Linked DNA regions of Canis lupus familiaris. The protein of the gene in region 3 interacts with the protein of the main gene of each other region in a pairwise test. Links are inferred from orthologs where the notes say so. Each region holds a gene or a part of one and is shown on either strand. Other genes may lie near its edges. The genes, in order: SCAF8, NXT2, GOLGA2, RAB39A, CHCHD2, C14H1orf35 and PRKAB2.

Region 1 (3,500 bases), on a different chromosome or scaffold from region 3:
AATGAATATGTGATAAATAGTAGGGTTGCAGACTCTCTAAAATGACCATCTCAAAAATAAAAGGGACCATTTTAGAGTCTTAAACATGGAAAAACCAATTCAGTTATAGTTCTAGATTTGATCCAGCTTCTCCATTTTGGGGGCAGTTGGGAAACTGAATTGGATACTAGATAAAATTATCAAATTATTAATTTCATTTTGTGATAATATTTTAAAAATCATAAAGCACATGGTCTCATTTAAAAGAAACTTATTAAAATAAATACTTTTGGCAAGAAAAGTGATTTTTCCAGAACAGATAGTAAAAGAGAGTTAAGAACACATAGTAATTGATAGAATGATAAGTCAGAGTAGAAGGAAAAGTAGGATGCTGCAGTGGTTTGAAACTGACTGAAACAGTAACAGTGCTATCTGGAAAAATGGGGATGTCAAAAGCAGCAGTTAAAGTGTGTAGAGGAGAAAATACAGTATTAACTCTTTACCCCCTTTTTTCCTCCCTCTCTTCTTCTCCCTCCTTTTTTTTTCTCCTTTCCCTCCTCCCACTCCCTCTCTCCCTATCTGTTCTGGAACCTCCTCAGTGTAGTAACTAAGCTATTAGATATTTTGGTATTACTTTCTTTGCTATCACATTAGTAGTTTGTAGCCATTGTTTATTTGGTTGCCAAATGACTCTAGTTTGTTTCTTAATGTAGCTATTTTAGATAGGCATGAAATTACTTTCTTCTTGGATGGCTTTTGTACCTTCTCTCACTATAAGTTGATCTTTATTTAAAACAGTTCACATGTCTTGTTTCTATTCTAAATTGATAATTTTCAGATTTATACTCAGGTTTAGGTCTTGATTTAGGAAAGTATTAATTATTTCTAAGATGTACATAGGGTTTACTTAACTATGAAATATCTTCAGGATCTTAGTGTTTGTTGTTTCTGCTTTTTTGAGGATAGATGAATAGAGGGAACAGGGATTTATTTCAACTCCTTTTGGCACTATTCACCTTTAATTTCCTTAGTTTCAGACTGCTCCAAGAGACCCAATTTCATACTTGTTTTTCTGCTTTCAGGAATTGTGTTGTCCAATGGTAAATCTGAAAGATAGCAAAAGCAGTTGTTGTCAGTGCTTGTTCTTTTACAGAGATTAAGGAGTTAATTGAGGAAGGAATGAAAAGCTTAGTGAAGGGGCACCTGAGTGGCTCAGTCAGTTGAGCCTCCAACTCTTGATTTTGGCCCAGGGTCATGGGATCAAACCCCATGTAGAGCCCTGCTTTGGGAGCTCTGCTTCAGGTTCCCTGCTTTGGGTTCCATGCTCAGCATGCAGTCTTTTTGGGGCTCTGAGAGGGGGCTCTAAATAAAAGAGCTATATGTGATGAGTTCTTTATCTGTCATGGTATGACCACACACACCCGGACTCTAAATAAAAGAGCTATATGTGATGAGTTCTTTATCTGTCATGGTATGACCACTTTATTTGGCTTAAGTTCCCTGGCTTTCTAGAAGCAAGACAAACTTATTAAGGATTATTGTATATGGGACACACAAAAAATATTTTATTAAAAAATTAACTTGTTTTGAGTTAGTATCTATTTTTTCTTCATCTCCAAAGACTGTACAACAATGAATGTTATTGAAAAGATGGGCATTCTTACAGATAAATTCTGCATCTGTTTGTAATAATTTTCCTTTTTTCTCTTCTAGCTTCAGCAGTTGATACAGACTTTACAACTACAACAGCAAAAGCCTCAGCCTTCTATTCTTCAGGCCCTGGATGCTGGTCTTGTTGTGCAGTTGCAGGCTCTCACAGCACAGCTTACTGCTGCAGCTGCAGCGGCCAACACCCTGAACCCCTTAGAACAGGGAGTGGCTTTCAACAAGGTAGACATTAAGTTATCAGATCAGTTCTGTATGAAGTATTAAACTCTGTATGCTATCATATGGATTCTAATTCTGTAAATAGCATTTTATTATAGAACCATTCTAGTATACGCTGTACTGTATAATTCATTATGAATTTTACGAAAGATTTACAGATTTCTGACGGATATGGTAACATTGAGGCAAATGATAATTTTCTGAATTTTCTAATTTCTTTTATGTATGTTACAAATATACTAATTTTGATGTTCTATATTCTAAAATTTTAACCTGCTAAAATTATAATTGTTGAAAATGTGAAAATTCACAGGAAAACTTCTCTACACTGTAATATTATAAATTGAGGCCTATCTATAAAGGATAGTGGTTTTAAAGTTGAAATTTTTTTCATGTATAATTTATTGTATAATAGCCTCAATATTCTTGTTAATTATAAGACTATTAAAATACTTGGAAGTATTATCCATATTTTTGTTTCTGCTACTTTATTTTTAGGAAAATACTGATTTATTATGTTATTACTTAGACTTTTTTAGCTGTCAGCCTAATTTAGTCTGAAAATTTAATAGTTACACCACATAGGGGGCACCTGGGTGACTCAGTTAAGCATCAAACTCTTCATCTCAGCTTAGGTCTTGATCTCAGGGTCATGAGTTCAAGCCCCGCATTGGGCTCCATGCTGGGCATGGAGCCTACTTAAAAAGCTAAACCGCATAAGAAAAAACTTCAAATTGATCATTTAGAAGACAGTAGAGCATCCTAAGAAGAGAAATATACTAGGAATAGATCTGTTGATTATAGTCCTAGGTGTTTTTAATCAAGCTTTATTACTATTGGCAAGGCACTTAATTATTTTAATCCAGTCTTCTCTTCTACGATCATTAATATTTAATCTGTGTTGTGATTTGTTATATAAGACAGTGTATGTCAAAGTACTTTAAAAATAAAGATTCATTCAAATTAAATGCTTTATTATAGCACAACAAAATTATATAAAACATTTATGTATTATGTGATAGAGGTAAATTAATGGGATGTCACTGACATTCAGAATAGCACTTCTACCTTATTTTTGTGTAAAGCACTTTTAATCTTTTTCTCCTTTTTTTTTTTTTTTGTTTCCCCCTTTCTCACTTAGAAGTTGATGGATAGGTTTGATTTTGGGGAAGATTCTGAGCATAGCGAAGAACCTAAAAAGGAAATTTCAGCTTCTCAACTGTAAGAATTGTTGTTTTTCTTTATAACCATAAGTTTTTCCCATTATTATTATAAACATTGGATGGGACATTGTTTTCTGAACTACCAAGTATACTTTGAATAAATTGGGATATAATTTCAGGCTATTGAGCTCTAACATTACAGAAAGATGGTAGATTTGCTGTCTTGTTGCCTCCGTATTTATTTTGACTCCTTTCTCAGATCTTTGCAGTTAATTTGGGATATATCAAAATCCTTTATAGAAGAATTGTAGATACAGTTGTGATATTTTCTATATCTGTATTAGGCTTTAAGTTATTTAATTGTAAGAATATTTGAAATAATGGGAAAGAAGCTTGCTTCTAGTGTCAATGACCAGTTCTAGGAATTTTATCAAATTCTGGGAGTGTATCTGACTCCCAGGATTGGGATTA
Region 2 (4,269 bases), on a different chromosome or scaffold from region 3:
AAAATAAGCATAGTTTAGGGACAATGAGTGGCTCAGTGGTTGAGCATATGCCTTTGGCTCAGAGCATGATCCCAGGGTCCCGAGATTGAGTCCTGCATTGGGCTCCCCACAGGGAGCCTGCTTCTCCCTGTATATGTCTCTGCCTCTCTCTCTGTGTGTCTCTCATGAATAAATAAATAAAACCTTTTTTTAAAAAGTGTAGTTTAAGCACATACGTGACTAGCAGAGTGTCTAAGAGAAAAGACTTTGGGATTACACAGCTCTGGGTTGAAATTCTAGCTCCACTAGCTATGTCATCCTAGCCAATTTACTTAACCTCTTTGAATTGCAGTTTGAGTTCTTAAAATTTTAGATAATAATTTGTCTCTCTCCAGGGGTCATGAGGATTGAATGAGATTATAATAAACACCAGACACCTATTCTGAGCTCTCAATTAATAAGCATAATTACCTATAAAGCAGTAAACACAAGTCATTTTTGGCAAACAGTACTAGTTAACTTTGCCGATGTTGGTGAACAATGAGAGAGAAGTCTGGAATGGCAAATTGAGACTAGACCAAGGTAGGTCTTAAAAGATTAGAAACATTTTGGAAAAATGAGAAGTGAGAATATTTGCATATAGAGGAGGGAAAGGGAGAAGAGGATAAGGGGAGAGGAGAGGAGAGGGGAGGGATGGAAAGGATAGTGGAAAGGAGATGGGTAGGGGAGCAGAGTAGAAGGGAGGGGGAGGGGTGGGTACTGGCAGGGAGGGGGAGGGATGGAAAGGGGAGGGGAATGGAAGGGAGAGGAGGTAGGGAAGGGGAGGAGGGGAAGAGTCGAAGAAAGGGAGGGCGCAGTGGAAGGTATGGTGGAGGGGAGCAGAGCAGAAGAGGGGGTGGGGACTGGCAGGGAGAGGGGGAGGGAAGGGGAGGGAAGGGGAGGATATGGGAGGGGTCAGCGGAAGGGAGGGGGCAGCAGAAGGGAGGGGGAGAGGAGGTGAGGAAGGGGGGAGAGAGAGAGAGAGGTTGCCTAAAAAATGAGCCAAATTGAGCAAGTTACTTGGAATTCCTCTGTAGTTCATAAATGTTCTGTTTATTGTCTAGAACTCCCATTACATTGTGAACGTTATGTGGAGAACCTTGCATAACGTGGTAGTCCATAGTAAGTGTTCAATATTTTTTGAACAAACAAGTGAATTACGATGATGGGGGTGCTAAAAATAGAGTCCAAGAATTCAAGCATAGATGACTGAAAGAATACAGAAGATTGGAATTGCAGAGGAATTAAGGAGTTTAAATTTTGGACTCTTAAGAGTTCGAGAAACCTGTAAAGCATTTCTGCTGTTCATATCTAGTGAAATTCCATAAGCGGAACTGGACATCGACGGTGGGGGCTGGAGATGTGTCGTGAAGATTTATTAGCATATGAATAGCAGTTGAAGTCACGTGGGAGGAAGGAGGTTTTTAAATAAGAGACACCCCCGGAAGTGACGCCAGTAAGAAGGGCGCAGGGGAAGAAAGTCAGTCTGCCTGCAGTTGAAGGTAGTTTGAAGAGCGGAGCGCTGTGGGGGGCAAATAAGATTCAAATATGAGAAGATTCAGAAGAGACTGGGCTCATAGAAGGGACTCAGGAAGATACCAAAGAAGGAGAGAATATTTTGATGAGCCAGAAACCAGCTATTCGAGGTAAGACTATAGCGATAGCTAATTGATTTAACCATGCAGAAGCTGTTGGTGCCTTTGAGGTGAACGGTTTTAAAGGATGCTGGAGAGTGAAATCAGGTTGTAGTGGTAGTTAAATTGCTTGAGCTTGAACCCCAATTAGTTTGTGACTCTCAGTGGGTTCCTTAATCACAATGTGCCTTAGCTATAAACTGGAGATGGTTACCTCATAGCATTATTAAAGTAATAAGTGAATATCGATTAAAATGCTTAGAAAATTACATTGCTCGTGGTCACCACGCAGTAAAATTTTAGTTGCAGTTAGAAAGTAGGCTGCAGAAGGTGGTGAATGGCAAGGTTTGCTAATCTTCATTTGGAGTCTGAGACCAAAATTTGGGCATGAAGGAACTTGATAAGCCTTTTCTTATGAATAGCAGAAAACCAAATCATGAATAATTTTAGGAATGCTGCTGAGACCGTTGGGATTCGATTTAGTGAGGCTAGATTCTTCCAGAATGTTCCAGAACTTTAAACCGTTCTTTGCCAGTCATGCGCAGTGTGGTGGCATCCCTCCCCAAACTCCACCCCTTTTTCCTATAGTCTACAGTTCCAGTAGGTGTCTCCTCGCGTTTCTCGTTGGTCTTCTGCTATCCTTGGCCCCGCCTCCTGGCGCAAAGAAGTCCCCCTATTGGGCCATTTAGATTTTTTTTTTCTTGTCCCGCTTCGTGAGGGAAATGGATACTTTTACTTGGAGTATCTAGTTTACGAAAGCAGAGGATTTTTTTCTTCCCAACCAAGTAGATAAATAGCAACCAAATGAATAGAGGAGGCAGATGGGAGGGTACGGTCGGAACTGAAGGAAGTGTACTTAAGGTTGGAACATCGGGGTGCTTTTAACAACGGACCGAGCTACTTCCGGGAGAGAATGGGCGGGTAGAGAATTCGGCGTTTGGCGGGTTTAGCTGTCTTCCTAAATTTTGGTCCTGCAGCAGCCGAGGGCGCCCGACACGTGAAGAGGTAGTGACGCCGCCACTGCCGGAACAAGCTGCTTCGGGGTCCCTCATGGCCACGTCTGTGGTGAGTGCTGGGGCCACTGCAGGGTGCCGAGGCGCCGCGGCTCGGGCAGCTGAGGGGAGGGGCGCTGGGGCGGGCAGCCTGGTGGTCACGTGGTCCCGTGGCGAATCAGGGCCGGGCCCGCTGGGCTCCGGGGCGGGGCCCGCTTTCTGTAGCCCCCTTGGGTCGCGAGCCCACAGATTCCCCCGCCGCCCCCACCCCTTGGCGTCCGTGCAGTCCCTTTCGATTGCTGCCAAGGACCCCGAGATGAGAGTTGGCGGGAAGCGGAAATGTTGGGGTCTGTTTATGGCTTGCGATTTTTTATTCTCTATCATCTCCCTCTCTGAATGACTTTCGATATCCTGACAGGGAAATGAAACGGATTCTTAATTCAAATAATAGGCTGGGCTCGGCGAATGGCTGGGAGAAAGGTACCTATTAAATCATCCGGCAGAAGAAAAACCCCAACAGCATTTCTCTCCTTCGGTTCGACAATTCTTTACAAATGCCGGTGAATTTTTCCGTCATGTGTAGAAGTTTCCTAACTATATAGTTTTTCAAGCATTTCATCGAACTTCGTTTTATACTCCATTTTTTCCCCCACTGAGTAACTCTTTGTCCTGAGTTCTGGCTTAAAGAGGGAATTCAGCACTTCCACCACCACCCTGCCCTTTATAAGGTTCAGACCACATCGTTTTTTTAAGGTGAATGTTTTGTAAGATATTGGAAGCGTAAGGTACTTCCAGTACCAGTTACCAAGCAAACATAAATTCATATTTGAAATGAGAAAAAAATTCACTATTGAGGGATGAGTATGTCCTAAACACATGTACTTTAAAATGGGGGAAAATAAAAAAACTGGAAACTTTTGAACCCTGACCTTTATAATGTCCAAATATCGATGGAAGAATGTGAACTGTGTATGCAGCTACAAAGTGATTGAAATACGTGACCAGCTTTTGTTCGTTTTCTCTTTGTTAGGAGTTGGAGGGGTGGTAATGTGCACTTCTGAATTTTTTCTTCTAGGACTTTAAAACTCACGTAGATCAGGCATGTAGAGCTGCTGAGGAATTTGTCAATATTTACTATGAGACAATGGACAAAAGAAGACGGGTGAGCCTTATAGACTCTACTACACTTTGTTAAGTACCAGGGTTTTTTGTTTTGCTTTTTGTCTTTTTGTAGCCATCCAGTCATCTGACTTGCATAAGTGATAACTGTGGGCTTGTTCTTTAAAAGTGCATTTTTTAAGGGAAGGATTGGTTATGATACTCTGGAAATGTGGGCTCTGGAGTCCCTCTCTCAGCTTTGCATTTACCTAACTCTGTGACCTTGGGTAAATTGTTAATCTCTCTTATTCTCTAGTTTTAGGGAGAGTAAATGGGAATTAACTTACTGCACTTGACATGGGGTTTGACATATATTTACTCAAATATGTTACCTTTTTTAACGCTGTCATTCAGCCAGTATACTTAAAACAGTATCAGTGCTAGTGAAGGAGTGTGCCATTACAGGGAATGTTCCTTGAACTGTTTAATTTCATATATTATTAATTTCTGATTAAAGCTCAAAGCTG
Region 3 (3,500 bases):
TCGTCCTGGCTAGAGAGCTCAGGCCCCTAACGAGGTCAAGAGATGGTGCACCTCGGATTCAGCCCTGGATGCTACCCCCAGCTCCACCAGTCACTAGTCGCTTCTCATCTCTCAGCCTCAGGTGTCCTCAGAGATATTAGCATTTTGCTCACAGAGGTGTCAAGGATTATTATTTTTTAAGATTTTACTTATTCATGAGAGACACAGAGAGAGAGAGAGAGAGGCAGAGACACAGGCAGAGGGAGAAGCAGGCTCCATGCAGGAAGCCCGATGTGGGACTCGATCCTGAGTCTCCAGGATCAGGCCCCGGGCTGAAGGGGCCGCTAAACCGCTGAGCCACCCGGGCTGCCCAGGTGTCAAGAATTAAATGAGAAGCATGCCTGTAGTGTGAGGCATTCAGGGCGCACTCAGATGTCCATGGGCGCACTTTGCTTTTCCACTAAAGTGAAAATAGAAGGTGGTCATGAGGCATGAGGAAGGGTAAGGGAAGTGTGGGTCCCTGGATATAGGGGCAGTCACTGAAGTCCTAGAGCGAGGAAGCCAGGGGCCTGGGCGGGCCGCAGAGCCTCCCGCTTTCCTCTCAGCACGGGTGCCAGCCTTAGTCCCTGGGTCTTCCCACAGGTGGAGCTGAAGAGCCAGGAGGCTCAGAATCTACAGCAGCAGCGGGACCAGTACATGAGCCACCTGCAGCAGTATATGGCCGCCTACCAGCAGCTGGCTTCCGACAAGGAGCTGCTGCACAAGCAGGTGCTGCTGCAGACTCAGCTCATGGACCGGCTGCAGCATGAGGAAGTTCAGGGCAAGGTGGCGGCCGAGAAAGCCCTCCAAGAGTTACAGGAGACCCAGGTGAAGGGAGTTCGAGTACTGGGCCCCGAGGGGAGGGCCTGCTACCCGCATCCCTTCTCACTCTTTCCTGGCCCCTCAGGGACGCCTGGAATCTGCCACCCAGCAGAACCAGCAGCTCCAGGCCCAGCTGAGCCTCATGGCTATGCCTGGGGAAGGTGAGTAGGAGAGTGTCCAGGGGAAGAGGACAGAGCCCGAGGAGGAGGAGGGGTGACTTTGAGCAGCACAGAATCAAGTGTGACGGGACCTGTAGGACAGTGAATTCTTCTCTGGGGATGCACTGGCCCCAAGCTTTGTTCCCTGGCCCGCTTTACCTCCCCTGTTGGGTTGTCTGAGGACCCTCCATCTGCCCTGACAGGAGATGGATTGGACAGTGAGGAGAAGGAAGAAGAGGCTGCCCAGCCAAAGCTGAGCATGCCAGAGAACCTGGAGAGCCGAGAGGCCGTGGTGAGCAGACCCCCGCTGCCCCTTCCTCGTCCCACCTTCCCGCTTCCCTCTGTGGTAACCCCCTCCCAGGGGCACCCTCCTTTCTTCTTGGTTCCCTCCCTCAACCTCTCTCAACCCTCAAACCCATGGGACCCAGCGGTCAGCCTCGGCACCATCCTTGAAGCGCAGATGTGCCCACGAAGGCCAGGAGAGGAGGAGCTTCTCTCTGCCTTCCTGCCACCTGGTCACCCTGAGTATCCCCCACAAGAGCACACACACATGTCTCACCTGCAGGTGGCATTTTTTAACTCGGCCTTAGCCAGTGCTGAGGAGGAGCAGGCACGGCTGCGCGGGCAGCTGAAGAAGCAGAAGCTGCGCTGCCAGCGTCTGGCTCACCTGGTGGCCCCAGGCCAGCAGGTGCAGGAGGAGGCCGCAGCCCCCAGTGGTGACAGTGTGCCTGGGGAGACCCACCAGGCCCTTCAGGTGGCCATGGACAAGCTGCAGGTGAGCCAGTCGCTGGCCAGCCCTGGAAGGGTGGGGCCACCAGGGCGGGCTGCCTGACCCTGACCCTGCTGCTCTGGCCACAGGGCCGCTTCCTGGAGCTCATGCAGGAGAAAGTGGAGCTGAAGGAGCGGGTGGAGGAGCTGGAGCATTGCTGCATCCAGCTTTCTGGAGAGACAGACACTATTGGTGAGTGGGAGGGCCAGCACCCGGGGGTGGGGGGAGCCCTGTGATGGGTCCAAGAGCCTGAGCGGCAGCCCGTGTACCCACAGGAGAATACATCGCCCTGTACCAGAATCAGAGGGCAGTGCTGAAGGAACGGCACCGGGAGAAGGAGGAGTACATTAGCCGTCTGGCTCAAGACAAAGAAAACATGAAGGTAGGGGCCCTGAGCATCGCTGGGAGTGGTACAGGGCAGGGGTGGAACTCGGGGGTGCTCAGCACCTCTCCTTCCAGATGAAGCTGCTGGAGCTACAGAAACTGGTGCTATGCCTAGTGAGCGAGCGCAATGAACGGCAGGGCAAGCTCCTGGCAGCTGCCCAGGACCCCGCAGCAGAGCCTGCTACAGCACCCCCAGCCCAAGAGCTTGGTGCTGCCAATGGCCAGGGTGGTGAGTAGAGCCCTCAGGGTGGGTGGGGCGGGGAGAGCTCGCACAGCACTCAGAGCCCTGTTTCTTTCTCTCTCCCTGACCCACAAAGATCTTCGAGAGGTGAGCCTGGCTGACAATGATAATGTGGCACCTCCTCAGGGAGAGGCCCTACCAGGCCACAGTGCCCCTGAGAACCCCACTGCACAGCAAATCATGCAGCTTCTGCAGGAGATGCAGAATCCCCAGCCATACCTAGGTTTAAGCAAGAATCCCTGCGTCCCCTTCTTCTACCGGGCTGATGACAATGACGAGGTGAAGATCCTGGTGATCTAAGAGCCTGACACCAGCAAGCAAAACCTGGAGAAGTGGGGCCGGGGGCTCTGCTCCCACCCTGTCCCTGCCACCCTATCATTCCTTCCCAGTTACCCTTTTATCCCTAAACTAGCAAGATAAGACCCCTGAGAGGGGTGTGAAAAGCCTCCTAATTGGGGGAGACAAATAGGTGCAGACCTCTTGCCACCTTGGCAAGGGCTGTGTCTTTATCTGGACTACTCATCGTTCCAGAAAAACAAAGAGCCAGAGGCTCAATAAAAACATAGTTTATTTAGAGGGCTCCCTTTCTTGGGGGGCAGGGGCTCCCTGGTGGCCTCCTCACCCCCACCAAGCAGTCCTTCAGAGGGGCTCAGGCATCCTCTATTCAGAGGCACTTTGGGGAACAAGTGCTCCCCCTGTCCAGCTCAATGACTGGGCAGCACTCTCCCAGGCCTTAGGACAGTTGGGGCTAACCCAGGCCAGGCAAAGGCATAAGCTGGTGGGGGGGGGGGCTCCCTCCCCAGTGTATATACTGTACCTGTGTAACATTTTGTATATTCTGGGGATAGGGCAGCCCCCTGTATCATAGCAGAGGTTGGAACTGGCAAATGGGGAGGAAGTTCTATTAAATATTTGGGGATGAGGAAACTTATTTATTGATAGCATAGGACAGAGGAAGGAGGCGGGGACGGGGTTCCGCCCAGGTGACTCACAACTTCTGTTTGCTTTTTATTTCGGAATAAATGGATTTAGCCATACTGTTTAGCCTTGTGTGTGCCTGTTTCCAGTCACTGGCCCCTAGGTCCTGGAGTCTGCACTGTGGGCATTG
Region 4 (3,500 bases), on a different chromosome or scaffold from region 3:
CAACTCTGGAATTCCTTATAGGGAAGCTGACCTACATAGTTCTCTCAGGATCTGTACCCTACTTCTTCTGATACTTCCAAGAACTCCTAGAGACCGAAGTATGACCCAAAAGAGCAGGCCCAGAAAAAGCTAAATGTTCCTTACCCCCTTCTAGAAGACCTAACTCTCACATTCTAGTTTTCAGGCTGTAGGCTTGTCTCTTCCCCTGAATAATTGACAGCAGGGATGCCCAATTGTTTTAGGGAAAACCTACCCCCTGGGACAACTATATCTGAATGGGAAGGCTAACATATCAGAATTCTAAACCTCTTATCCATACCCACATATAGAAACTGAAGATCAGGTTATTACGTAGAAAATGACGGATGTCATATTGAGACCTTTTATTCCAGCTAATCTATTATTAATAAGGGCTGTTTTAGAGTGTACATGGCATATACCTTGCTGTAATTTTGTTCTATAGAATTTGCCAACTGTATTCCAAATGTGTTTGCAAAATTAGATATAAAGGGCTAGAAAACATGGCATTTTCTACAGTGTGAGATATGGCTCTGCCTAATATACGAGCGTTTCAGCATTGAGTTTTCAACCACAAAAGCATGTTTTTGTAAATTAAACTCATGGTAGATTAAATAGGAGGGGGAATCAAAGTAATGCAGACTTGGTGCTGAGTAAATTAAAGCTTTCAGTCTAGTAACAGCCTTAATGTCGTTTCTCTTACAGCACTGCACATCTGCCTGAATTCACACATATCAAGATAAGTAGCAAAACAATAACAAATTATCCCTCAATGTTTTTTTAAAGCAACTTAAATGAACCCCATTATTTGAAGCCTGTGAAAGATAGTGGGAGATTTTTCTTACTAACAGTGGCTATGTAATCCAGTAGTCCTTGAGAAAACATTCCTAAAATAGTCACTTGAGGGCAGCCCGGGTGGCTCTGCAGTTTAGCGCCGCCTTCGGCCCAGGGTGTGATCCTGGAGTTCTGGAATCGAGTCCCACGTCATGCTCCCTGCATGGAGCCTGCTTCTCCCTCTACTTGTGTCTCTGCCTCTCTTTCTCTCTGTGTCTTTTATGAATAAATAAATAAAATCTTAAAAAACAATAGTCACTTGACAGTCTCTACTAAGAATTCTCAGGAGAGGGTGCCTGGGTGGCCCAGTCTTTTAAGCGTCCCATTCTTGGTTTCAGCTCAGGTCATGATCTCAGGCTCATGATATGGAGGCCTGTATCAGAGGAGTCTTCTGTGGATTCTCTCCATCAGCCCCTGTCCCTGTGTTCCCTCTCTCTCTCTAAAATAAATCTTTAAAAAAATTCTGAGGAGAAGCAGGGAAGCAAATGAAAGGGAAAGAAAAAAGAGGTGAAATACTTTCTTCCCACATCCACAACAAATGGTGCTTGTGATTTCAGCAGGAAAGATAATGAAGGAATGCAACAGATGGAGAGAGTACCAGGTGACCTACTGGCCTTCCACAAAGATCTTGGGTGGTCAAATGAGTTTACTTAATGATCATCTCAATGCTCAAGACCATTGACAACTTAGAAACAGACATTTGCAATCTCTGCCTCGTACAACATTTAGCACTTTCCCTCTCCAATAAGACTAATCAATCCAATATAACAAATACTAAGCAACATATATCATTTCCCAGGTAATATGATATTAGGTATTGTCAGATACCTAGAGGAAAAATGACCCTCAAGGAGTCTTGAATTGAATGGGAGACATACCAACCGGTCCAATCAGCACATTGTGAAAATGGATATAATCATAATGGCAGTATGCCAGAGGCTCAATGGAGTTATAACAGGATTGCCTAAGAGGACAAAAGGTCAGTGGCAGGGAAAGCTTCTCTATACATGATTTTTTTAAAAGATTTATTTATTTATTCATGCAAGACCCATACACAGAGAGAGATGCAGAGACACAGGCAGAGGCAGAAGCAGGCTTCTCATGGGGAACCCGATGTGGGACTCAATCCTGGATCCTGGGATCACACTCTGAGCTGAAGGCAAACGCTCAACTGCTGAGCCACCCAGGCATCCCTATACATGATTTTTGAGCTGATTCTTGAAGGAGAAATAGGAGGGTAGAAGACATTCTGGGTAGAAAAAATAATGCATGTAAAGGCAAGAAATATAGAACAGTATGGCCTTAGCACCTTGCCTCATGATTCAGTCAGGAAATAGCACATGTGAAGGGTTAACTGAAAGTTTAGCAAAGTGACTATTTCTAGAAATGTGGGCAAGGTGAACAGCATCAATCAAGGATGGTGAGGCATTCAAAGTTAGCCACAGTGAGAAGCCATCCACCACCTGACCAGCAGAGGGAAGAGAATGAGATTACCTGAACCTGGTGGAACCCATTAGAAAGGTGCTATTCAAGGGGAACCACAACCAGAAACAGGAACATAGCTGCTGTGAAGCCAAGAGTGGAGATGGAGAGGAGGGTATGTAGCTGGACCTCTTTGCTACCCAGCTGGTGCTCCCATTGGCTGAACCTCACTGCAAGCCCAAGGGTGAGGGAGTTTGGGAAAGCTTTGAGGCCCAGAGAAGAGCAGAGACTAGATCTAGAGGGACAGATGGAATCCCTAGCACACCTCAGATTCACACCCCATGTGCCAGCAATTTCCTGTTTCTTGAAGAGGTATCACACAGGACTGTAGCTGTGACTCACATTATAACAGGTGCACCCTCGTTTCTTCTTCAATGGATAGAGAGGGGCTCCTTGCATTAAATAACAGGAAGAGAGATTTTTAAGATCTGGTTGGCTGGGCAACCTCTGCTCTTCACCATATCTTTCTATATTCCTATTTTTAATCACAGTAATGTAATAATTACTCAAGCAGATAGTTGAAAATAAAAACAGTCCTAAGTGCAAGATAACATACCACTTAAGTTCTTTTTGTCTATCTAAAAATAACTACACTTTAAATGTTCTGTCAGTGGATGAAACTGGCTTGCCTATTAGTTTCAGAATATTTTTGTCCACTTAAGACACTTCATATTTGGGAGCACCCCGATGGCTCGGTCACTCAGTGAAGCATCTGCCTTTGGCTGGGGTCTTGATCCCAGCCAGGGTCCTGAGATTGAGCCCCGAGTAGGGCTCCCTGCTCAGAGGTGAGTCTGCTTCTCCCTCTCCCTCTGCCTCTCTCCCTGCTCTTGCTTGCTTGCTCTCTCCTCTCAAATAAATAAAATCTTTTTTAAAAAGACACATCATATTTGATTTATAAATTCTGGTCCAGGTTACCTTCAAATTTTATTATGGTGCTACATTGTTTGAAAGAGGAGAAGCAGAAAAATTTGTCCCTTTACAACCTGTTTTTCTATTTCTTTTTCAGATCAATAACTCGATCTTATTACCGCAACTCAGTTGGTGGATTTTTAGTATTTGACATTACCAACCGACGATCTTTCGAACACGTGAAAGATTGGCTAGAAGAAGCAAAAATGCACGTTCAGCCGTTTCGGATTGTATTTCTGCTGGTGGGACATAAGTGT
Region 5 (4,184 bases), on a different chromosome or scaffold from region 3:
CTCTCCAAGCACACTGCACCCAATTCTGCCCTTCTTTCTCTTGACAGTTTATCATCATATCTTTCATAACAATATAGAGTTTATTCCCTTTTATAGCTGTATATTGTGTGCTGCGCCTTTTTAAAAAATTTGTATTCTACTGACAAGAATTTGTTTCCAATCTTTTACTAGGACAAAATAATCTTGCACAAATATCTAATATTCTCTCCTCGGAGTGGGAATTCATGATTCAGCCAGGTGCGATTAAAATCGTCTCTGTTAAAAAAAAAAAAAAAAAAAAAAAAAAAAAAAAATCGTCTCTGTTATGGATGTTCATTCTGAGCGCTTGTGCCAGGATGTCCTTATAAGGCTCCTTTCCTCCGTCTCTGCTTATGAATTCTCCAGAGAAATGTCACGTCATTTGTAAAGCTTTCATTAAGTTCTGTGAAAATAAAACTTTTTCATGACAGGTCTTTGGATTATTTACCCTTCGATTCCACGAACATTCTGCTGTTACTGGAGAGAATGCGTTGAACTCCGCGACCTCAGGCGGAAGGGGAAAATTTCTCTTCGACGTGCAAGCCACCTCCGCTCTCTCCCCTTGCCCGGAGCCCTCCCGGGAGCGCCCCGAGCCAGCTCCTCCGCTCCGGAGGCGCGCGGACGCGTCCCAGGGGCCCCGCTCCCTCCAGCCGCCGTGCCCGGCGCTGGTGCGAGCCCCTCCCCGGGGGCCTCACGCCCGGTCTCGCCCACCCTGCCGAGGCTGCCCGTCACGGCGGCTCGGGGTGTGCAGGCTGTCGTGTGTCCCCTCCTGACCCAAAGTCCACGAAGAAAGAGTCTCGTTGGAGCCAGCGCCCGGAAATCATTCACTACACTTTTGATTATCAGTGAACGAGCACTACCCCGATTACGGGCACAAGCGCTATGGCATGTACGAAAAGGGCCCGGAAAGGTAGAGGAGCCACGGTAAGGCATTATTACGGCCTGAGTCCACAGGTAAAATAAAAATGGGATCACCTCAGCTCCGCGGGCCCTGCCTAACGCATCCGCTTTCCTCCGTCCCGCTCACACCATGTGCCCACACGGTGCCTCAAAAGATCCTTACCCAAATACGTAACTTAATGCTGAGGAAAGTTAACTAAGGTCCGGTGGCAGCCGCGCCGACACCGGCCTCCCTCTCAGGGCTGGCTTCGTCCCCCCGTCACCAATAGAAACGTCGGCGGAAGGCAGCGACGCTTTTAAGCAAAAGCGAACGGCTCTGCCTCCCGCTGGGCTGGGAAAACAGGCGCGCGGGGCACCTCCAGGCCTTCCGGTCTCCCGGGGCAGCCTGGCGCGGAGCTCATGACGCACGCCGCGTCCGACCCGGCGCCGGCGTGGCGCGTGCTCTTCCAGTGACCTTCAGGGCCCGCGGAGACGTAGGCGCGCGAGGCCTCTGCCTGTGCGCTGATTGGTCGCACGCCGAGGCCAGCCCCACCCCCTGTTTTCCGGTCTCTGGCTCCCGCCGAAGCCTCTGGGGTCTTCGCCGAGTGTCGGGCTTCTGGGCGCCGTGCTCCTGTCCCAGTAGACATGCCGCGTGGAAGCCGGAGCCGCGCCTCCCGCATGGCTCCTCCGGCCAGGTGAGGCCCTTGCGGGGTCTGGGGCCCTGCCGACGCCGTGACGCATGCGGAGGCCGGGCGGAGGCTGGTGGAGGCCGCGGAGGGGGCGGCGGAGTGCTGGGCGCCGGCCGAGGGCGGGTGTGGGGGTGAGGGGGGTACCGCTGTGAGGTGGGCCCGCCCCCGCCAGGGCATCGTGACTGGGCTTTGGCCACATTTCCCGTTGGTGGCGAACTTTCTGATTTCGAATGCCCGTGAGTTCTTAAAATATTCGAGAGCTCATTTAAAAAATGCTTTACGTTTATTGAAGTGAGCTCTGCACCCGGCGTGGGGCTGGAACCCACGACCCCAGGATCTAGACGCCCCTCCCCCGATTCAACCAGCCCGCCCAGAGCGCATTTTAAGTTAAAACGGTCATATCCTGGAAGTAAATGAGTATTTGTAAGGGTAAACCGGCCCAAGCTTCTGAAGTAAATAAAAAGACAAAACGAGTATCGGTGAAAGGTAGTATAATGGGGAGAATGATTGCATTTCAGTAAACAGGGTAACCTGCGAGCCCACAGAGAGCGGTCCAGAGGCTCGGCCCAGCGACCGAAGCCTCCTTGTACACGACATCGTCTAATTCATAAAACACTTTAGAAATATACTGGTAGGGATCCCTGGGTGGCGCAGCGGTTTGGCGCCTGCCTTTGGCCCAAGGCGCGATCCTGGGGACCCGGGATCGAGTCCCACATCGGGCTCCCTGCATGGAGCCTGCTTCTCCCTCTGCCTGTGTCTCTGCCTCTGTCTCTCTCTCTCTCTGTGTGTGTGTGTGTGTGACTATCATAAATAAAAAAAAAAAAGAAGAAAAAAAAAGAAATATACTGGTAGTTACACTTTAACACCCGTAACCTTAGGGATAGATGTTATTCCTGTTTTCCAGGAATAAGGAAACTGGAGCCTCGGAACAAGTGACTTGTCCGAGGTCACCCTACCAGTAAATAGGAAAGCCAGGTCTGGCCCAAGTCTTCCAACAACCGGTTAGGGTGTTAAACACAGGACCACGTTGCTTCTCTGGAGTGAGGTGGATTGTGTTCAGACTGTATGCTAGGACTGTAGGACAGTCCTTCACTTAAGGGAAAGAAGCTGTTCTCCAGAGGACAGAAAAACCAAATTTTTATAAAGTGATGCCAGATACCACCTGATTGGAAGCAAATTCATAAATTTCCAACCTAGGGGCAGCCCAGGTGGCTCAGCCGCTTAATGCTGCCTTCAGTCCAGGGCCTGATTCTGGACCCCCAGGATTGACCCCCCCGTTGGGCTCCCTGCATGGAGCCTGCTTCTCCCTCTACCTGTGCCTGTGCCTCTCTCTCTCTCTCTCTCTCTCTCTCTCGGTCTCTCTGTCTCTCTCTGTGTCTCTCATGAATAAATAAATAAAATCTTAAAAAAATAAACTTCCAACCTAGCCTTATTTGGGGGAAGAGCACCCAAGGAAACAGTCTAAAAATGGCCAGAGGGGACATCATGTGTGAAGACTTATTCTAAAGCAGGATTGAATATTAGTGAAAGCCTCTAGCTGGAAGCCTTACCAATAACATAAAGTCACTTAACACGTATTTTGTATATATGTTATAATACTGTATTCTTAGAATAAAATAAGCTAAAGAAAAGGTTACTGAGAAATCATAAGAGAAAGCACACACAATACTTATACTGTGTTTATTGAAAAAAAATCCACACATACTGGACACATGCAGTTCAAACCTGTGTTGTGTGAACAGTACAGTTTCTTTAGATGACAGTATCCAAGCCTGGTAGGAAGTGGGCACTTTTCATGCTTTTTGTTCTTTTCTTTCTTAGCCGGGCACCTCAGATGAGAGCTGCGCCTAGACCAGCGCCAGCCGCTCAGCCACCAGCAGCAGCTCCGCCATCTGCTGTTGGCTCACCTGCTGCACCCCGACAGCCAGGTCTCATGGCCCAGATGGCAACCACTGCAGCTGGCGTGGCTGTAGGCTCTGCTGTAGGGCACACGATTGGGCATGCCATTACTGGGGGCTTTGGTGGAGGAAGTAACACTGAGCCTTCAAGGCCCGACATCACTTACCAGGTAAGATTTTGGGCAGTGTTTTCTTTCATTGGGTAGGTTACAAGAAAAGCTAGTTATTTGTCAGTTCCTTATGTATAGGAGCTGTGAATCCATGGTCCTCCTAACAGAAAATGGTTTGTCAGAAGCCATGTTTGGCAGTTGAGTTAGTGCTTTAGACCAGCATCAAGTACTGTCCACATTGTATTTGTTCCCAAGGAGTAGAATAGCAGTTCAACCTGATTCATTGTAGAACAGCCATTTTCCCCTTATTTTAAATTTAGTTTCAATCTTAAGTATTGAAAAACCTTTTTAGTAGCTTTAGTAGAGCTCTCTGACCTCTTATCTGGTATTTGCCACTGCCCCTCTTTCTGAAGTATGTGAATTTTCTCCTCTGATGAACCTCAGTGTGGACTCTGTTGTATTTCTGGTGTATTTGACATGCTTATCCGTCTATTTTTCTATTATAGTCCCACTTTCTCCTCTGAACTACATTGAACCCCACTGGTATTTAGATACGCATGTAATCATTTAACTTTATTTGCATCTTTGTT
Region 6 (4,123 bases), on a different chromosome or scaffold from region 3:
AGGGGCCCTCAAGAAGAGAGTGGGAGGAGCAGGGTGTCAGGGATGCTGGTACGGGCTGTCAGTGGACTGGCCCACAAAGGGAGGTGCCTTCAGCTGGGCTTGTGGCCCCTGTGACTACAACAAACCTGTGGTCGGCTGCCATTCTTCTGCTCCAGTGGTGGGTTTCAGCCTGGCCAGGCTTCTGCAAGACCAAAAGGCCAAGTCCCAACATTTCCACTTGTCGCTGGCCTGGCCCAGGCCTGCCTCTTGCCCTGGCCTGGGCTGTCAGGACTCTTGGAAACCTGAGTGAGTGCCCACCGTAGGGCACTGATACAAAAGGTGGGGAAGGTGCCCACGTTCTATGGGAGGGGGCTGTGTCTGGGCTCCTGGCGAAGGGTGCTGCATTAAGCACCCACCTTTGGACTCCTAAGTCCCTGGTGGTCCACTGAGTTTCCTGGCCACGCGCAGGGTCCTGGGAACATCCAACGGCATTGTCTGCCCTTCCCTTGAAGTGGGGTCACAGCAACGATGCAGGGGTCAACAGCAGAGCAGAGGGTGAGCGGGGCAGGGACAAGTGGGACTTGTAGCCACAAGGCAGGGTGGGTGCTGGTGACGGAAATCACTAAGAGGGCCCCCCCCCGCCCCAGGCAGGGGGTTCTGGCAGAAACCACCTACTGAGATTGCTGCTGGTGGGCCTGGCAAGACCTCCACTAACGCACGGGCACCTGCTTAGCTTCTGAAGGGGGCCGGAGGTGGCAGGCTCTTCACCACAGCGGGTGACACGGTGAAGTGGACGGAAGGCCCAGGCCCGTCTGCAGCGCTCTGGTCAGTGGAGGTCCCATCTGCACCAGGTGTTCCTGTGTGTGGGCCCCCGACCCCCGCTCCGCAGGACCTCGCCGCCGCCCACGTGGGGGGCTTCACACACTGTCCATGCCGCTGCTCCCCCGTGTCCAGGGCTCGGAGCTGATCCTGCTTTGCCCAGCACAGCCGCCCCCCGCGGCGCCAGAGGAGCCCGTGCATTGGCGCACCTGCGCCGTCCCGCCTGCCCTCCACGCTGGGGTCTCCAGGGGACGGCCCCGGGAGTTGCAGGCCGTGTCCCGCTTCTCCGGAGCCGAGCCGCCCCCGGTGCCCGCTCCCGGCACTGCGGCCCCACCCGCTCGCCCATCTCCCGGCACAGCCCCAGGACCGTCGCCCGCACAATGTGGCTCCCAACGCCGGCAGGATCCTCGGGACCCGCCTTGGCGCCTACGCCCGCTCCCTTCCCGGGCGGTGCGCCTAGCGCTGGGGGCAGGCGGGGCGGCGGGGCCGGGGAGCAATGCGCAGGCGCTTGCGGCGCTGCCCGGGTATGCGCGAGTGTGACGTCAAGGCGCGCGACGCGGCGGCGGGACCCCGGCGCCGGCGCCGCCCGGGGCGGCCAGGCCAGGGTTGACGGAGGCAGGGGCGGCGGGCGGCCTGGCACCATGTTCGGCTCCAGCCGGGGCGGCGTGCGTGGCGGGCAGGACCAGTTCAGCTGGGAGGACGTGAAGACCGACAAACAGAGAGAGAACTACCTGGGTCAGTGCGGCGCCGGGCCCGGGGGCGGGGGGGGCGGGGGCGGGGGGGCGGGGGAGGACGCCCGAGCTGCCGTGCGCGGTGCCGCAGGTGCGGGAAAGCGGGGTTGCGAGGTTCTCGGTGTGGGCAGCCGGGGGCGCGGGGGCGGGGAAGGAGAGGGCGCGAGGTGCGGGAAAGGGGGGCTGCGGGCGTGGGAAGGCGGGGAGCGGCGACCAGCGGGCCGAGCAGTCGCGCTGCGTCCCCGCAGGCAACTCGCTGATGGCCCCCGTGGGCCGCTGGCAGAAGGGCCGAGACCTCACTTGGTACGCCAAGGGCCGGGCGGACGGCGCGGGACTGAGCCGGGAGGAGGAGCTGGCGGCCGTGCGGCAGGCGGAGCAGGAGGCACTCATGGCGGCGCTGTGAGTGGGCCCCGCGGGGTCGGGGGAGCTCGGGGGGCCCGGGGGCGAGGCGGGGTCCGAGGGGCAAGGCCAGGGACTCCGGCCGCCGCCTGAAGCTCGCCCGCGGCCCCCACAGAGGCTACAAGAACGTGAGGAAGCAGCCCACTGGCCTGAGCAAGGAGGTGAGCGGCGCACGGGGGGCGGGGCGCCCGGAGTCTGTGCGAACCCCCGCCTGAGACCCGCTGGCTCCGCACAGGACTTTGTGGAGGTCTGCAAGCGAGAAGGAGGGGAGCATGAGGAGAAGGGAGTGGACCGGCTGCTGGGCCTAGGGAGCTCCAGGTGCGTGGCTGGGGGGTGGAAGGGGCCCTCCCCAGGTGGACGCACCGCCCCGCCGAGGGAGGCCTGGGCCTTCTCACCGTGGGGTCCTCGCCTGCCTTCCCGCAGCGGCTCTGCAGGCCGAGTGGCACTGTCCCGGGAAGACAAGGAGGCCGCCAAGCTGGGGCTGTCGGTGTTCACGGTAAACCCCCCTCTGCGGGCGGGGCACCCCAGAATCGGGCGGGCGCCGAAACTGGGACGCCCCCCCACAGCCCCCTAGAGTGCCTTCCTTCCTTGCTCCTTCCCTCCCCAGCACCACCGCGTGGAGAGCAGCCGCCCAGGGGCCTCCCCCACCTCTGCTAGGAAGAAGCCTCGGTTTGAGGAGGAGAAGGTGCAGCCTGGGTAAGGGCTGCTCCCACCCCTTGGTCCCAGGCCCACCTGCTGGGCTCCCCCAAGGGGGAGGCAAGGTGCACTCCCACCCCTGCTTTTCCTCCCTGGATGGGGAAGCAGGGCGCCTTCCTACCTCTGCTGCTCCTGGCAGTTTCCTGCCACAACGGGAAGGAAGGACCGCTGTACCCACTGGCCACAGGGAGGGGGGGGTGTGTCTGTGTGGACAGTGCACAGGGGACGCCACCCCACGTCCCTGCAGCCTGGAGAGCCACAGGAAGAGCAGGAAAGAGAAGAAGAAGAAGAAGAAGAGGAAGAAGAAGCACAAGAAAGAGAAGAAGAAAGACAAGGCACACAGGAGCAGGGTGGCTTCTCCACTGTCTCCAGCTCCTGCAAGGTAGGTGTGCTCAGCCTTGCCGGGGCAGAGGGAAGGTCTGGGGAGCAGGGCAGCCTCCCCCTGACCACATGTCCCCATATCCCCAGGCCGGGGCACCACCAGTGCGGCTCTGACTCTGAAGATTCCTTGCCCTGCTCCAAGAGGCGACGCAGCCACCACAGTGACTGAGGCCAGATCACAAGGGGCCCCCATGTCCAGCAGGGGACCTGCCCCGGGAGGACACACTTGCCTGGGAAGGCCCCGAGACACTTCTATTTTTCTTCAACTCACTTTGTACTTAAATAAACTTATTTTAAGGGGAAAGCCTCTCATCCTTGAGGGAAGGTGGCTGTCATGTCCCAGTAAAGTTCCAGCAAGACCAGCCTGAGACCCTGCTGGTAGGGCGGGGAGGGGGGGGGGGGGCGGGCTCTCCCTGGGTTACCATGTCCAACCCCAGGGCACAGACGTGCACCTGGAGCCAGCAGTGTGCCCCACCCCTGGGAGGTGAGCACCTAGTCATTAAACCCTCCTATTACAGCCTGCCTGCAGGGAGGATGAAACCCAGGGTGCACTCATGATTGTGAAACTGGCATCTTTGGCTTTAAGTCATCAAACTAAAAACGATTCTGTCTTCATAACCCTGGCCCTGGTGTTTCAACCTGGTAGTGGTATAAACAATCTTGGGCGGGGGCCAGACTGGGCGCCCCCAGCCAGGAGAAGGAACCAGACCAGCATGCCCAGTCAGGTGGGAGGGATGGTCTCCAGCCAAAGAGCCACTAGGAGCCCTGCCAGGGGTTTCCTACCCCTCAGGAGCAGGCTGGCTAGCAGGGATGGGCGTGGACAAGAGCAGGCCTCGGGCACACCCAGTGTGGTGACCCTGCTGTCCCTCCACGTCCCAGTCCCACAGAATAGACCAGGGGCTGCACTAACAGTCAGCGGGTGGACGATGAGAGGGCGCTGGGTCATATGCACACCTAACACAGGGAGCAGTGAGCCACACCATGTAGGTCCCTAGCCAGTGACATCCTCTGTGCACAGTGGTAAGTGTGGGTCAGTGGCACCCAAGCACTGGAAAGCCATGAAATAGTTAAGAGATTTTATTCTAGTAGCTATAATTACAGTGCTTGTTTGTCGAAAT
Region 7 (3,500 bases), on a different chromosome or scaffold from region 3:
TATAAAGCACTTTGGTAGCTCATGAAAGAAAGGAAAAAATAGAAAATAAACTGTATCACATGGGGCAACCCCGGGTGGCTCAGCGGTTTAGTGCCACATTCAGCCCAGGGCCTGATCCTGGAGACCTGGGATAGATTCCCACGTCGGGCTCCCTGCATGGAGCCTGCTTCTCCCTCTGCCTGTGTCTCTGCCTCTCTGCCTCTCTGCCTCTCTCTCTCTCTCTGTGTGTCTCTCATGAATAAATAAAATCTTTTTTTTTTTTTTAAGAAAAACTAAAGAAAATCCCTTAAAAAAAAGGGGGTATCACATGTAACAAAGACACACATTCTGCTGAGACTTGTGTTACAGGCGTGGGGGGATGGATGGGGGGGAGAGAGAGAGAGAGAATTGAGTTATAATGTAAAACAAATGTCTTGCTGTAGATCCTAGTTAAAAAGTTTGAAATCATGGGGCACCTAGGTGGCTCAGTTACCCTTTGGCTCAGGTCATTATCCCAGGGTCCTGGGAGAGAGACCTGCATAGGGATCCCTACTCAGCCGGGAGTCTGCCTCTCCTTCTCCATCTCCCTCAGCTCATGCTCTCTCTCACTGTCTCAAATAAATGAAATCTTTTTAAAAAGCTTTTCAATCAAATACACTGAGATTTCTTTTCTCTCAGAGAAGGAGATCTAAATGTTTAGAGGAAAAATATACATATATGTACATATAACGCATATATGATTCAGAAGATTCTTGAGGAGAAAATGAAGACAAAAACCACTCTTAGGAAAAAACTTGCATTGTAAGAAAAACACATTAAGAAAGAGCAAATACTACAAAATTACCTCGACAAGATGTCTCCGAGCTTTCCATTGAATCTAGTTTTAAAGCATCAAACACCTCAAAGTCAGATTTCTTGACATGGATCAAATTGTTAATTGTGCCAAGCTGACTGGTAACCACAGGCTGAAACAACGAATGGAAAACATTCATAAACCCTGTTTTAATTCATCGCTTCCATCTAACTCTCCTATTTTAAAAAATGATCATACTTAGCACCTCCATCTTTAATCAAGAGAGAAATCCTCCAGTGTAGGAGCCCATCAATCCTGACAGGAATGATGTTTGATACCAAAGGGAGTAACAGCCAAAAGAACATAGTTAAGATAATGGCTACCCTTGGAGATCAAGACCTTACCTCTGACGGATCATGAACCCACTGTCCATCCACGAAAAACTTGTACTGGTGCTCTCCCTCAGGGAGGTCTAAGATGGCAACAAAGTCATTATGGCTACAGAAGAAAACACAAAGTTAACAGGCCAAGTTCCTGTTAGAAAACAGAATGCAAATATAAAAACCATGAGACATTCACAACTTCATACCAATGATCTCCCACAATCCTAAGCGATTGTTACCCATGGAATAAAAATAATTTATAGACTCATTCTCCTTATCTGTATCACCTTGAGCATATATTTGCCAGCCCATCCCAATAACTTTAGTTCTTAATTAATATCTGGAAAAGAATAATAGATGTTAATCCCCCAAAATGGTTCACCTTAGTGCAACTAATTTGCTTTAGGAACAGATCCCTCACAAGTGTAAATAAGATAGCAGGTAGCTTCAGAATACAGAAGTGCCTCAAGATACCCCTTCCAAATTTTGGTGAGCCTTTTCTGAAAAAATGACCTATATATAAATGAAGAGCCATTCTGATTAACAAGTAATTCATTATTGCTCTACAAGCAACAATTCACATTATTACCTAGAACATCATGTGTTTTGTTTTAGTGCAGAAGTCACAGCAAGTGGACTCAGCCAGTTACAGATGACTTCCCACAAGCATAGACAGGACTTGTGTTAACACAGTCCTAAAGAATGTACCCACAAAGTGAATAAGTTCCCCTGAGGTAATGATATTCCAATCAGTAAAACATCTCTGACTCACTGAGATTTAAAAAAAAAAAAAAAAAGGTCACAGATGTAGTTATTGGTCACAGAAAATATTCTAGAGAGAGTCCCTAGCTGGTGAAGAGGAGTAGTCCAGCCAGGTCTCTCTCCTGAGAAGGGAAATCAGGTCCCTACTCCTGGACCCTGTAGACTCAACCAAGAACACTTGTCTTCACCTCTTAATCAGTGGAATCTTGGTGCTCCAATTGTTGAAGGACCCAGAGATGAAGACCTCTTTGCCTCCTTCAGACCATCGGATAACAGTGGGCCGAGCCTGCTGTGTGGGCTTTACGGAGTCCTCCAAATCCTGTTGCCATGATACAAACTCTTTGTCCCCAGGGAGCTGTAAGAAGGATTAGGTCATCCCTAAATTGTGACCCAGGAATTCTTAAAAGGTCACTCTCCTCCCTAGGGCAGAGAGGGGTGCTATGTTTCTGGTAAGAATCAATAATCCTTGAAATTAGCAGCTGAATCAGATTTTGAACAAACTATAGAAAAATAAGTCATCTAGGACCCAAATGGTCAAACAGCTTATGCTCAGGGGTTGACCAAATCACAACCTAACTTTAGAGTCTGCATGTATCACTCACCCTTTCAGAGCCTTCGGATCTCCCTTTAAAACAAGTTGGGGGAGGGGGTGTGCTTACTCCCAGTTACCAGATCAACCCACAGGCAGGCAATTATGATATACTTCTGAGTACCTCTTAAGAGAAAAAAATAAGAAAAAAAGTATGTTTCCATAAAAAGCAATGAACTCGGCCATGTATTTTTCATACGTAAGTATGATCAGCTCTCAATTATCGGCAAGTTAGAGATACTGTAATTCGTAAATAATTAATAAACTTCATTTTAGCTAATAGGTTACAAAAGGACATTAAAAGCATAAAAAAATCATGTATCATTGGTTTCTTAAATTTTGAGAAGTGGTTATAAATCTTGCTCACTCCTGCCAGGTATATACTAATTATTTCAGGAGTGAGGATGAAAACTCTGGACCCTCAAGAAACATCAGATCAAAAACATGGCTTTTGTTTAAGGAAGCTTCCTTTAACAAAAGCCGTTTCAATAGCAAATGAGGTCTGTAAGGATTCTAAAAAGAAAAAACAAATGAACTCCTTATTTAGTTTATTTTCATTACCATCCTTTAGAACAAAAGTTGGCAGAAGATGGTCAGTGAGCCAGATGCTTTTATACATAAACTTTTCTTGGAAAATTGCCACACTCACTCATTTACATATTTATCTACAGCTATTTTCATGCTATAGTAGCCAAACTGTTGTGATAGACACTGTATGGCCCACAAGGTCTAAAATATTTACTGTCTGGTCCCTTATAGAAAAAGTCTACTGATCCCCACTTCAGAATGGTTTAAATGACTTCGGTAAATAGGACTGTACTGTATCAAGTCAAAATGTCACCAAATAAAATAATGTGGGTTAAAAAAAAGGATTAACTTATTCACATGGGCTTTACTTTCAAAATGGCTAAGGTAGTCTACTTTCCATATTGTCTCTCAATATTCCTCAAAACTATACTAATGAGACACCAGTAACAGCATAAACTGAAGTAAA

What was found.
Region 1: the proteins of GOLGA2 (region 3) and SCAF8 interact in binary tests that used the Homo sapiens proteins (3 or more experiments, as listed by UniProt). The two-hybrid records come from large-scale screens. The link is inferred for Canis lupus familiaris from reciprocal best matches to the Homo sapiens genes GOLGA2 and SCAF8.
Region 2: the proteins of GOLGA2 (region 3) and NXT2 interact in binary tests that used the Homo sapiens proteins (3 or more experiments, as listed by UniProt). The two-hybrid records come from large-scale screens. The link is inferred for Canis lupus familiaris from reciprocal best matches to the Homo sapiens genes GOLGA2 and NXT2.
Region 4: the proteins of GOLGA2 (region 3) and RAB39A interact in binary tests that used the Homo sapiens proteins (3 or more experiments, as listed by UniProt). The two-hybrid records come from large-scale screens. The link is inferred for Canis lupus familiaris from reciprocal best matches to the Homo sapiens genes GOLGA2 and RAB39A.
Region 5: the proteins of GOLGA2 (region 3) and CHCHD2 interact in binary tests that used the Homo sapiens proteins (3 or more experiments, as listed by UniProt). The two-hybrid records come from large-scale screens. The link is inferred for Canis lupus familiaris from reciprocal best matches to the Homo sapiens genes GOLGA2 and CHCHD2.
Region 6: the proteins of GOLGA2 (region 3) and C14H1orf35 interact in binary tests that used the Homo sapiens proteins (3 or more experiments, as listed by UniProt). The two-hybrid records come from large-scale screens. The link is inferred for Canis lupus familiaris from reciprocal best matches to the Homo sapiens genes GOLGA2 and C1orf35.
Region 7: the proteins of GOLGA2 (region 3) and PRKAB2 interact in binary tests that used the Homo sapiens proteins (3 or more experiments, as listed by UniProt). The link is inferred for Canis lupus familiaris from reciprocal best matches to the Homo sapiens genes GOLGA2 and PRKAB2.

Annotation. Positions count from the first base shown.
Region 1 is NC_049222.1:45,083,353-45,086,852, forward strand, and holds part of SCAF8 (SR-related and CTD-associated factor 8), read left to right. Parts: intron 1-1,692; coding exon 1,693-1,869; intron 1,870-3,007; coding exon 3,008-3,087; intron 3,088-3,500. UniProt on the Homo sapiens protein: Anti-terminator protein required to prevent early mRNA termination during transcription. Together with SCAF4, acts by suppressing the use of early, alternative poly(A) sites, thereby preventing the accumulation of non-functional truncated proteins.
Region 2 is NC_049260.1:83,436,371-83,440,639, forward strand, and holds the start of NXT2 (NTF2-related export protein 2), read left to right. Parts: upstream 1-1,469; 5' UTR 1,470-1,566; coding exon 1,567-1,664; intron 1,665-2,495; exon of another isoform or gene 2,496-2,513; intron 2,514-2,629; coding exon 2,630-2,717; intron 2,718-2,869; exon of another isoform or gene 2,870-2,991; intron 2,992-3,105; exon of another isoform or gene 3,106-3,109; coding exon of another isoform or gene 3,110-3,124; intron 3,125-3,719; coding exon 3,720-3,806; intron 3,807-4,269. UniProt on the Homo sapiens protein: Regulator of protein export for NES-containing proteins. Also plays a role in mRNA nuclear export.
Region 3 is NC_049230.1:55,336,393-55,339,892, forward strand, and holds the end of GOLGA2 (golgin subfamily A member 2), read left to right. Parts: intron 1-621; coding exon 622-846; intron 847-925; coding exon 926-1,001; intron 1,002-1,201; coding exon 1,202-1,290; intron 1,291-1,563; coding exon 1,564-1,773; intron 1,774-1,856; coding exon 1,857-1,959; intron 1,960-2,042; coding exon 2,043-2,149; intron 2,150-2,226; coding exon 2,227-2,380; intron 2,381-2,468; coding exon 2,469-2,692; 3' UTR 2,693-3,434; downstream 3,435-3,500. UniProt on the Homo sapiens protein: Peripheral membrane component of the cis-Golgi stack that acts as a membrane skeleton that maintains the structure of the Golgi apparatus, and as a vesicle thether that facilitates vesicle fusion to the Golgi membrane.
Region 4 is NC_049226.1:24,556,081-24,559,580, reverse strand, and holds part of RAB39A (ras-related protein Rab-39A), read left to right. Parts: intron 1-1,923; exon of another isoform or gene 1,924-3,021; coding exon of another isoform or gene 3,022-3,119; intron 3,120-3,340; coding exon 3,341-3,500. UniProt on the Homo sapiens protein: The small GTPases Rab are key regulators of intracellular membrane trafficking, from the formation of transport vesicles to their fusion with membranes.
Region 5 is NC_049227.1:495,444-499,627, reverse strand, and holds the start of CHCHD2 (coiled-coil-helix-coiled-coil-helix domain-containing protein 2), read left to right. Parts: upstream 1-1,384; 5' UTR 1,385-1,542; coding exon 1,543-1,592; intron 1,593-3,407; coding exon 3,408-3,654; intron 3,655-4,184. UniProt on the Homo sapiens protein: Transcription factor. Binds to the oxygen responsive element of COX4I2 and activates its transcription under hypoxia conditions (4% oxygen), as well as normoxia conditions (20% oxygen).
Region 6 is NC_049235.1:508,157-512,279, forward strand, and holds C14H1orf35 (multiple myeloma tumor-associated protein 2), read left to right. Parts: upstream 1-1,345; 5' UTR 1,346-1,439; coding exon 1,440-1,533; intron 1,534-1,777; coding exon 1,778-1,928; intron 1,929-2,043; coding exon 2,044-2,089; intron 2,090-2,163; coding exon 2,164-2,246; intron 2,247-2,351; coding exon of another isoform or gene 2,352-2,424; intron 2,425-2,535; coding exon 2,536-2,624; intron 2,625-2,871; coding exon 2,872-3,006; intron 3,007-3,092; coding exon 3,093-3,373; 3' UTR 3,374-3,623; downstream 3,624-4,123.
Region 7 is NC_049238.1:58,290,933-58,294,432, forward strand, and holds part of PRKAB2 (5'-AMP-activated protein kinase subunit beta-2), read right to left. Parts: intron 2,273-3,500; coding exon 2,106-2,272; intron 1,271-2,105; coding exon 1,177-1,270; intron 945-1,176; coding exon 824-944; intron 1-823. UniProt on the Homo sapiens protein: Non-catalytic subunit of AMP-activated protein kinase (AMPK), an energy sensor protein kinase that plays a key role in regulating cellular energy metabolism.